Rattus norvegicus: one gene and its partner. The protein of the gene in region 2 purifies or fractionates together with the protein of the main gene of each other region. This does not show direct contact. Links are inferred from orthologs where the notes say so. Each region holds a gene or a part of one and is shown on either strand. Other genes may lie near its edges.

Region 1 (5,906 bases), on a different chromosome or scaffold from region 2:
CCAGAGGTCCTGAGTTCAGTTTCCAGCAACCACATGGTGGCTCACAACCATTTGTAATGGGATCAGAAACCTTCTTCTGGTGTGTCTGAAGACAGCTACAGTGTACTCACATACATAAAAACAAATAAAAAAAATCTTTAAAAAAAAAGGGGGGGGGCTGGAGAGATGGCTCAGAGGTTAAGAGCACTGACTGCTCTTCCAGAGGTCCTGAGTTCAATCCCCAGCAACCACATGGTGGCTCACAACCATCTGTAATGGAATCTGATGCCCTCTGCTGGTGTGTCTGAAGACAGCTACAGAGTACTTATATATAGTAAATAAAGAAATAAATCTTTAAAAAAAAAAAGGGGGGGGGTTGGGGATTTAGCTCAGTGGTAGAGCGCTTGCCTAGGAAGCATAAGGCCCTGGGTTCGGTCCCCAGCTCCGAAAAAAAAGAACCAAAAAAAAAAAAAAAAAGTTACCCACTGAAGAAGAGTGAAAACTCTGATGAGCCCACAGAGGCCATGGTCTATCTAGCTCTCATCTCTGGGTCTTTTTCTCCAAGAGGACACCTTGGCTCTCAGCCTACTGAGTGAACTTGGGGGGGGGGGGAGAGGCTCTTTCCTGGCTCTCTGAAACGCTGGTATGAAGGGGAAGGTGGGTCCTGGGTTCCTAGACACAGGCAGAGAGCAGATTAACCTCGGCTTACGATGGGTGATGTCTTGACACCCCAGTGCCACCTGTCTCATGGCCTCTGGACTGTCCCCACTCAGCAACAGGACATTGCCATGCTGCCTGCTCCCTCCAAAGTGTGGGGACGAGGGAGCTGTGGTGTGGGGTCCCATTGTAAGAGAGGAGCGGGGTGCACAGCGCTGATATCCCAACTCGCACATACAGTTGCTACCTCATCCCTACAGTGTCTGCCTAGAGGGGACAACACTGGACTAGAGACAGTCTGCCCTCAGGCACAGGTAGCCAAGGGAGTCCTGCTCCCTGCTCTCTGGGACTCCCGTCTCTGTCCATGCCGGCTGGGTGCTTGAATTGGGGTCACCCATGCTAGAGCGAGATACTCAGCTGAGGGTCCAGGATGGGCAAGGCTTTCAGACCCATGGTGCAGTTTGTAAACTGTTCCACAGGGACTCTCTGGCATTCTAGCCTGTGACCTGAGAGCTCAAACTCCAGGACAACACAGGCTGCACTCTCCCTCCTTGGCCCACTGATGAGGTGAAAAAAGATTCCTTGGTCTCTTCTCCAACACCTGCATTTCGGGGAGGGGGCAGGGCCCATACAGGGCCACCATTCAGAATGACTGAGGATCCACATGGCAGAGAATCCTAAGACATGGTGTCTTACAGGATGCCACCTGGCTTTTCTGCAAAGATGGGGAGGGGGTGTGTGTGTGACCCACACAGAACAAGGCACCAAGGCGCACGGTCTTGACTTCTGTTTTGGACCTTTCGCTGAGCAGGACTCACCTTGAGTCCCTGGAACCAGCAAGAACACAGAGAGGAGCCACAGAAGAGCCATTGCCTGACCTGGAAGCCCAACCTGCAGCAGAAGGAACAACAAAGTTAGACTGGCCACAGCTCTCCGGAGGAGACTGGTAGTTCCATGGTCCCCTGTCAAGTTTGTGGAGGACAGGATGGTGTTGTGGGTGGTCCCTCTTCCGTAAGGCCCAGATGGCCATGAGATGACCCTTATGCAGGCCTCTCTCTCACATGCTCTATGGGACAACCTTCAGGACAGTAAGTCTCCCCAGATGAGGCAGGTGGGTTGAGGGCTCCTGGCAACGAGAACCCAGGAAATAGACAAGAGGCTATCCCTCAACGGTTGGTCTTATCTTCAGGCAGCAGCCCCCTTCGGGGTGTGCCCCAAAGGGACAAGATATGCCAGTCTGGGAGGGTGTTGTGGATGAGGTTGGAGCAGGGAACTCTCAGGAGGAAGTGACAGAGACAGTTGCAGAGGTCATGGCGTGATCTGGGGATGAGTGGGAGATGGGTCAGGGTCAACTGCCAAGGTGCTGACACACAGGGACTCAATACTAAGACTCTCTCGCCTGTCTGTAGAATGGGCCCCACCCAGGCACTTTCTCTCGGGCCCTGCATGAAGGGGGCTGACCTAGAGAGCAAAGTGCAGCAGCCCTGGTAGACTCATTCTAGTCCCGAGGGCAGTGAGGTCGGGGCTGGTAGTGGACGGTGCTGTAGAGCTCTGTCTCCTGGGCAGGAACTCAGCAACGAATCTCAAACTGTTTTGTTACTCAGACCAGGGGCCCAGAGACCAGCAGTAGAGGTTATCCCAGGATCAGTAGAAACACCAGGATTGTCCTCCACCCCAGACATTCTGTACCAGAGCAGCACGAGCAAGACCTCAGTGATCCAGGGCTCTTGTAGCCATCTTGGCAAGGGTGAAGATAGTCTAAGACAAACTCGTGCCCTTCCCTTCGGTTATCGTACTACTGAAGCAAGGACAGAACTGGAATTCCCCCTGGGAGTCTCATGCTGAAAGGAGAAAGCTGTTGCCTGGTGACAGCCGGAGGGGAAGCTTGTCTCCAGGAAATATCAGCCCAGTCTGGGATTTACAGCCCAGGCATAGGGCAGACCAGTTAGCTATACATTCCTCTATGTAAACCTCATGTTAATATCCCCTATAGACTCTGGGATGTTAATGGGGGAAGGCCACTGGACTCTTCTCAGTGTGGCTGGCGGAGTCTGGCTACCAGGGGAGCATTCTCACTATAGGCTCTGACCGCTGAACTCTATAACTCGATGATGGGTGGGAAGCTTGATCCTTAGTGCTGTGCACCCAGTCTTATCCCAAGGAGGTCTGGGTTCCGGGAAACCTGAGTCCCAGGCAAAGTGCCCTGGGTGCCCACCCCCTCCATTTACTATAAGCTGTGGTTATAGGGTTTGTCCATGCTGGGTCAGGAACTTTAGGCCTTGGGAACATTGCAGGGTATGTGGACATTTTTGTCCACTGGATGACAGGGGCTGTTTCTGCCTGACTCCTTTGTGTGGGAACTTGGGATGTGCCTGCCTATGCTGGCTCATTCAGTACCACTGTGTAGGTCTGTTTAGTCCTGGGTGAGAATCCACAGACCCAGGAGAAGGCCGAGGGATGAACTGTACCCCACTCACCCCTTCAGTTGTTCTTTCAGTGAACATCCTGCCTAACTGTTTAGAGGCTCTGCAGGTCTAGGTGTTCCTGTGTTCTGCGACCCCCCCCCCCAGAAATTATGCTGTGTAGAGCGGGGACTCACCTGGGAGCAAGAGACAGGTAGTCAGTCACCTGTCCAGGCAGCTGCTGCAGATGGTCCTGGAGCCTCCTTGCTGGCTGCAGCTCGAAGCTTTCTGTAGACTGTTCAGCTGAGAAAGGCCCCACCATGTGGTTTTCCTCAGCCTCTTCCCCGGAAATGCTTTATAAACCTAGTCTAGTTTCGATTTCCAGAAAACACATGACGGAGGCTGCCTCTGGGGTTGGCTGCAGACAAGGCTAATAGCCCTCTGCTTGCTGCTCTGCAGGGAGGATGGCAAGCACCCAAGTGCCCTGTGCTGAGCTGATAAAACAACAATGTTGCGGCTGAACAGATACATGTCCAGGCTGGCCAGGCAGGCACCCTGGGAGGGCAGCTTGGAAGGGGATGGAACAGATATATCCCCTTGCTGGCCTGGTAAGCACAGTGGGGGGCAACTTGTCCAGGCTGGCCAGGCAGGCACCCCGGTGGATGGTGAGAAGATGCTGCAAATGGGCCGGGGAGCAGAGGCTCAGGTCACACAGTGTCTGTGAACATGGATGTGGGCTGCACAATCCTTTCCTGGATCTGGGGAGGCTGGCTGTGCTCACTGCACAAACCTTCCGTGCTCAGAGCATGCTCGGAGGGAAGGTATGTGGGCCACAGAGTGGTCCTGAGGGATGGGAATCGAGATAGAAAACAGGAAGCAGGGCTAGGAGCTAGGGGTGGCTTGCTGGTTAAGAGCATTGCCTACTCTCTCGGGGGATCTGAGTTCAATTCCTGGCACCCATGTTGGTTGGCTTGGAACAGGCTTTAAGTGAACTCCATGGGATCAGACTTTGTAGGCACACACATACACCCAAGTGTGCTCATGCATGCACACACGCAGTGCACATACGTTTAAAATTTAAATCTTAAGAGGTTTCTTTAATACCTGTGGTGGCAAACACCTTCAACTGGGAGGCAGAGGTAGGTGGATCTTTGATAGTTAGAAACTAGTCTGGTTTGCGTTGTAAGTTCTAGGTTAGTCAGAGCTACGCAAAGAAAGCCTGCCTCGAAGGAAGAAAAGGAGAAAAACAAACAAACAAAAAACCCAAAACAACAACAACAACAACAAAACTAACAACAACAGAGATGGTAACCTGCAGCCAGCCAATCTTGACACTGTGAGTTTGATCCCTGGAACTCACTGCAGGAGAAAACTGACTCCTGTAAGCTGTCTTCTGATCTCTGTATGTCTACCATAGCCTGTATGTGCATGCACGTGGACACACACAGTAAATAAATGTGAAAAATTATATAAAATTCAAAGAGGACTGGGAGGTTGCTCAGTGGTTAGGAACACTTGTTCTTCTTGCAAAGAACCCAGGTTCCCTTAGGAACTCCCACATGGTTGCACACAATCACCATAACTCCAGTTCTAAGGGATACAACGCCCTCTCCTGATCTCCATGGTCACCAGGCACATATGTGGTGCACACACATCCATGCAGACAAAACTTCCAAATATATAAAATACATTAAAATTAACCTTATGATAGGTTTATACAGTGACCTAAATCCCAACAGCTCCCTGTGGCTCCCCCAGCTGCCAGCCCCATAAGGTTTACTACCTCAAGACACTCAACTCTTGAATGCTATTCAAAACGTCCGACACAAATGACCCAGGAGGCAAAGTCAGGTGACTTCAAATTGGTATAAAATCACCCTGTTCCTTTCTGATGTATGGTTCAGGAATTTACCTGCTGTGTTTCTGTCCTTGGTGTCTACTTTTTTTTTTTTTAAGGATTCATTTATTTTATGTGTGTGAGCATTTTGCCTGCAGGCAAACACACCATGTACATGTGTGCCATACACCTGTGCGTATGGTGGCCAGGGTATCAGGTTTCCTGGAGTTGGAGTTACAGACGGTTGTGAGCCGCCATGTGGGTGCTGGGAATTATACCTGGCTTCTGTGCAAGGAGTATTCCTTATCAGTTGAGCCATCTCTCCAGCACCACCTCCCAAGTGTCCTTTATTAAAACTTCTACATCAATTCTGGTCTGGCAAATCCTTTTATCCTGTGCTTTGAGCTCTTTGTCCCAGGTATGACACCAGGGAGGGAGGCCCCGAGGTCCTCTAAACCCAGATAGTAACTTGTGAGTGGATACACTGGGGTTCCATACACACCTGACTCGATAATGCGATCTCCCTCCCAATGGCCCCAGGGACCCTTTAGGGTTCAGACCACCACAGGCTCTGCCTGGCTTACACCCATTCCCCTTCCTCCACAAAGACAGACAGACAAACAAACAAACAAACAAACAAACAAACAAACAAAAAAGCAAAAGACCGGGTCTTGGTTTCTACTCGGGGAGTCCTCAGTCAGTGCAGCTCAACCTGGGCTGGCCATCTGGTGTTCAAAAGGCCCAGGGAGTTCTGGGGTAAAGCCCTTTTGGGTTCAGCAAAAGGCTTTTGGCCTCAGAGTTCAGGGGTTGGACACTCAAGGACTGGCTCCCTTGGATGTGAAGTTTCCATTGGCTATGGGGTCATTCAGTCCTGGGAAAACCACGCAGAGAGCTACAGGCAGGGATCAGCCTGACTCTGCAGATGTCCAAGCTTGTTGAACCGGGGGCTAACTTGTGGCTTCTGTCACCTTTGGCTGAGAGTGTGAGAGGGAGAGTGGAGGTGTACCCTGGAGAAGAGAAGTGGGGGGGAC
Region 2 (5,195 bases):
GTAAGGCTATAGAGCCAATGGCATGGGAATCTTAGCATCTACTGTTGCCTGTGCCTTGCAGGTACATTGCCCTTGGCCTCCCAGGAGTCAGCAGTGGTGGAAGATCTGCTCTATGTGCTTGTGGGAGTGGATGGCAGGTACATCACTGCTCAGCCTTTGGCTGGGAGGCAGAACCGTACCTTCCTTGTAGATCCCAACCTGGACCTGTCCATCCGGGAGCTAGTAAACAGAATCCTCCCTGTGGCTGCCAGCTACTCTACTGTGACCAGGTGAGTCCCCAGTGTGACCAGCCACCTCCCTGATAAAGTTCTTTCGTGGCTTGTGATTCTCCCTTCTTCCTAAGAAATTTTGAAGAGCCTATGAGTCACCAACCCCTATCTTGACTCTTAATACCACAGAGTCCCGTTGGCTCTTAGTACTGGAGTGAGTAATTTGCTCTTTAGGTGAGAAGGGGACTTGGAGTAGCTCAACTTTTGTTTGGAAATTTAGCTCTCCCTCATAATGCCTGATGTATCTTTGCTGTAGGTTCATTGAGGAGAAGTCTTCATTTGAATATGGGCAGGTGAACCATGCCTTGGCTGCTGCCATGAGAACCCTGGTGAAGGAATACCTGATTCTCGTCACACAACTGGAACAGCTACACAGGCAGGGCCTCCTCTCGCTGCAGAAGCTCTGGTTCTACATCCAGCCAGCCATGCGTACCATTGACATCCTGGCCTCCCTTGGTGCGGACCTGCTGGCAGGTGGAGGGCTCCCTAAGGCATGGCAGGGCCATTCTGTCTGGGGCTGGTCATTCATAACGCTCTCTGGTGGCATGGTGGCAAGGCAAAGTTCTTGTCACATCTTGTTTTAGTGACCTATATAAGGAAGGCTCCAGTGCATTTCCTTTCTCTTGTTGTTGAAACAAGGTCCTCTTCTGTGTTCTAGACTAGTTAGCGAACTCAGTTGTACAGTCCGCACTGGCCTCTTACTTGCAGTCGCCTTGCTTCAGCCTCCCAAGTGCTGAGGTTTGGGCGTGTGCCACCGTGCTAGGCCTGGAGGCTTTTCTTGATCAGTCTTATTAGCAACTGTAGCCTTGGCATCGGAACATGGTACCTGGCTTGCTGGGGCTCCTATCCACCAGGGGTGCTTAGATGTCTGGGTAGTGAGCCACCCCTTTCTGCCCACAGCCACCTCCGTGGATAAAGGCGAGTGTGTTGGCGGGTCGACGCTGAGCCTTCTCCATGATAGGAGCTTCAACTACACAGGGGACAGCCAGGCGCAGGAGCTGTGCCTCTATCTGACCAAGGCGGCCAGCGCTCCTTACTTTGAGATCCTGGAGGAGTGGATCTACAGAGGCGTCATTCACGACCCATACAGGTAGGCTCTGCGGGTGCCAGACACCTTTCACTTGGACGCTCACGGTGCAGTAGGCTCTGCGGGTGCCAGACACAAGTCCTCAACATCAACACAATGGCTGTGAGCTGAGGAGCGTGTGTCACTCACTCACTGCCTTGCAGCTTTGTCTGTTGAATGAGGAACACTGGTATTAACTCTGGAGCCCACGTCCTTACTGCTTCCACGTGGTTGAATAGTGTGTCACTTGAGCATGATGCCTTTGATTATGTAAAGCAAATGACCAGTTGATAGAGAACTGGGGATGAAGGAAGCCCAGGCCTTGCGTGTGAAGCCCAGGCCTTGCGTGTGAAGCCCAGGCCTTGCGTGTGCTCTACCGTAGGGTGGGCCTTGTGTTTCTTTATGGAGGGGCCAAACAGGAGAATTTGGTGTGATGGGCCTAGTAGGGGACGCGGTTTCCTTCTGGCCACAGGTAAATGGTTCTTGAAGCTCTGTGGGAGGGTCTGATTCTGTTGTTGATAAACCTGTGTACCCAGGACAAGCCATATGTCTGTCCTGTTGCCATAATGCAAGAGTAGGGAAGAAGCCACCCAGCTCTGCAAATTAGACTCCTGCTCCCAAGTAAGGCTGGAAGTATGTGACCACCCCGAGGTTGTCCAGGCTTGTCCTGTAGTGGCCTGAAACACTGTGACTTCCAGTGAGTTCATGGTGGAGGAGCACGAGCTGCGGAAGGAGAAGATACAGGAGGACTACAATGACAAGTACTGGGACCAGCGCTACACTGTGCTGCCACAGCAGATCCCATCCTTCCTGCAGAAGGTAGCAGGCAAGATCCTCAGCACAGGTGACTATGCTTGGACCGCTCTCCAAGGAGGTCAATGGCCTCTTCATGCTGTGTCATGGGACCCGTGGGTCATCACAGCCTTCCAGGCCCTCTGCCCCTGAAGATGACTTAGCTGGGAATGGCCTACTACCCTGAGCTTCTAGCCACTGGTTGGCCCTAGTTCTCCATCACTTTATTCAGCCCCCTAATCAGGACGCTGTCTGCCTCAGACAAAGCCTTCTATCTTGGGTTTTACATCTAACTCCATCATATAGCAAAGAAAAGCCATGAGGAACCCACACCTTCCAGGCCAGCTGCATCTTTTAGTTTTATTGCACAGGATAGGGACTGATGTAGAGATTAGGCAAATCCTTGGGGCCTTAACATAGTGCTCTGCTCTGAAAGCTGAACAGAATCAGAAAGGGCTAGGAGATTACTTAGCAATCTATCTCTCAAGGCTTTTCAAAATCCTTCCTATAAAATACAGACCTGAAAAACTATTGCACAATCTTTCCAGGAAACAAATTGTACCTCATGTCTGGCCTACTTCCCCATGTTTGATTGGCGTCATAAAGGCCCAGGCCTGAGACTCAGCATGTACAGGGATACTGAGTCCACCTTCCTTTTTCTTTTTGTTCTCAGGAAAATACCTAAATGTGGTCAGAGAATGTGGTCATGATGTCACCTGTCCCGTAGCCAAAGAGATCATCTATACCCTCAAAGAGCGGGCATATGTGGAGCAGATTGAGAAAGCGTTCAATTATGCCAGCAAAGTGCTGCTGGACTTCCTCATGGAGGAGAAGGAGCTGGTGGCCCACCTGAGGTTGGACTTCACTTTGTATCCAAGGGGCTGAAAGTAGAATGTTCCTCTTAGCAACTACATTTTTATCTCTATAAGGGCTCCCTGCAGCCCCAGTGTGAGGTGGCAGGGTTTCCGTTCTCTAGTTCTCAGACCATGCAAGCCAACAGGTCTCTCAGCTCCTTGCTGTCAGTCCCTCCCCTTCCGTGTCTGAGCAGAGCAGCTCCATGTCTCAAACCTCTTCCTTGTATGTTGAAGGCAGAGGTCAGGTTATATGTTCAACAACCCTGGCACAGGTCCATCAAGCGCTACTTCCTGATGGACCAGGGGGACTTCTTTGTGCACTTCATGGACCTGACTGAGGAGGAGCTCAGGAAGCCAGTAGAGGACATTACGCCCACACGCCTGGAGGCTCTGTTGGAGCTGGCCCTGAGAATGAGCACTGCCAACACTGACCCCTTCAAAGACGACCTCAAGGTGAGTGTGGTGTTTACCATCATGGCACCTTGCTTCCGCTACACTGGAGTGAACACATAGCAGGGCCCAGTGAGGGTGTCCTACCGGATGTTCTTCCTATTTCAGAGGACACTGGCTTGCAAGCATTTTGTTAAGAGATTTGTGTCTGGTCTCACAGGAGACACTGTTTGTAATTTTCCTGTGAGTTTGGTCCATGTCAGTGTCAAATCAGGCCAACCCCTCACGGAGTGTAGGTGGACGGATGCTCTTTCTTCCTCAGGTTGGGGAGTGGTGTGAGTTATTCAGGGTCTGTCAGGGCTCTTTTCTCTGGGAGATACTGCATCAAGGCTTCATTTCATGCCGGTTGAGGTCTTCCATAACTTCTGCTTCCAGAGTTCATCCTGGCCACCAGTACATTTCTGTTGCCATCAACAGGGTGTGTGTTTGCGGCCATGCAGTAAGAGCTGTTATGGTTTCTAAGGTTGCAGGAGAACTCCACTTTCATCTCTGGGTCCCGTGGTTTGTCCTCTTTCCTCGCTCATGGAAGTGAGAGCTTGTCAGTCCCACTGATGTTCTTAGGAACTCAGTCTTGGTTTTAGTACTTCCTTCCTTTCTCTTTGTCTCTTCAGCTTATTGTTTCTGTTAGCTTTGGGCCTACTTTCTGTTGGTAGTTTCTTGAATTTTGAAGTTAGGCTATTTTAGGATGCTTTATTTTCCCCTATTTCAAGAGGCTCTATGATTTCTTTAGTGATTTGTTTCCATTTAGTTGTAAATTTTCAGGATTTTCTTCTGTTGCTTAGGATTTTTTTGTTTTTAATTTTTATTTTATATGTGTGGATATTTTGCTTGCACACATACCTGTGCAACACATGTGTGCAGAGGACAGAGGAAGGCATGGATCCCAGGACCTGGAGTTACAGACAGTTGTGGGCCACTGTGTGGGTGCTGGGAACTGAACCTGGGTTCTCCAGCTCTCTTACTTAGTTTTAACCTCACTATTTCATGTAAGTTTTATAACATCATGATGGTGCTGGGATTCTGCATGGGCTCTTCCTCTCTTGGCAGGTCTTGGATGGTTCTCAGTGCTGTGCACACAGCTTCCATCTGTTACGAGAGTGAGGCTGAGGCTCCACTGTTCCTGAGAACTTGGTTTTCCTTGCAATTCTGTTCTTCATGTATTTCTGGATCTCTTATTAAGTTCAGGAGTTATTGTGTAGGGTGCATTATTCCTAATGGCAGTCTGACCTGATCATCCAGGTGGACCACACAAGAGCCATCTCAGGTGCTGGCTGTGGGGCAAATGAGTCATGTCTGCTCACCTGATGTCCCCACCTGTGCTACTTTGACAAGCAGGAGTAGAGGGTCTACACGTTCATGACTGTTAGCAAGTGGTGAGCGTTTGCCTTGCTCAGGAGCTGTTTTTGCTTTTCTTCCTTTATTCTTTTTTTTTTTTTTTTTTTTTTTTTGGTTCTTTTTTTCGGAGCTGGGGACCGAACCCAGGGCCTTGCGCTTCCTAGGCAAGCGCTCTACCACTGAGCTAAATCCCCAACCCTCTTCCTTTATTCTTTATGCTTTACTTTTCTTGTCTTTATATTTTGTGTCTTTGTGGACATATATTTATGTCTTACAGGAACTCTTATCAAACTGGCATGTGGTTGGCTCTAACAAGTATTTAATTGTTAATGTAAACAGTATTGTTTGTCCATAATAATGACTTTCACGTATCTCACCAAGTATGCGTCACTTCACAGGTAAAATAAAAGATCTTCACTTGTAAGATGT

The links. The genes of interacting proteins can lie anywhere in the genome.
Region 1: the proteins of Tubgcp2 (region 2) and Lgals3bp purify together in Homo sapiens (affinity purification with mass spectrometry; 3 studies listed by BioGRID and IntAct, counting the BioPlex papers as one, with this or other methods). This does not show direct contact. The link is inferred for Rattus norvegicus from reciprocal best matches to the Homo sapiens genes TUBGCP2 and LGALS3BP.

Annotation. Positions count from the first base shown.
Region 1 is NC_086028.1:104,124,479-104,130,384, forward strand, and holds the start of Lgals3bp (galectin-3-binding protein precursor), read right to left. Parts: upstream 3,371-5,906; 5' UTR 3,236-3,370; intron 1,528-3,235; 5' UTR 1,507-1,527; coding exon 1,455-1,506; intron 1-1,454.
Region 2 is NC_086019.1:204,228,101-204,233,295, reverse strand, and holds part of Tubgcp2 (gamma-tubulin complex component 2), read left to right. Parts: exon of another isoform or gene 1-61; coding exon 62-269; intron 270-525; coding exon 526-725; intron 726-1,169; coding exon 1,170-1,359; intron 1,360-2,033; coding exon 2,034-2,179; intron 2,180-2,800; coding exon 2,801-2,981; intron 2,982-3,253; coding exon 3,254-3,434; intron 3,435-5,195. UniProt on the Homo sapiens protein: Component of the gamma-tubulin ring complex (gTuRC) which mediates microtubule nucleation.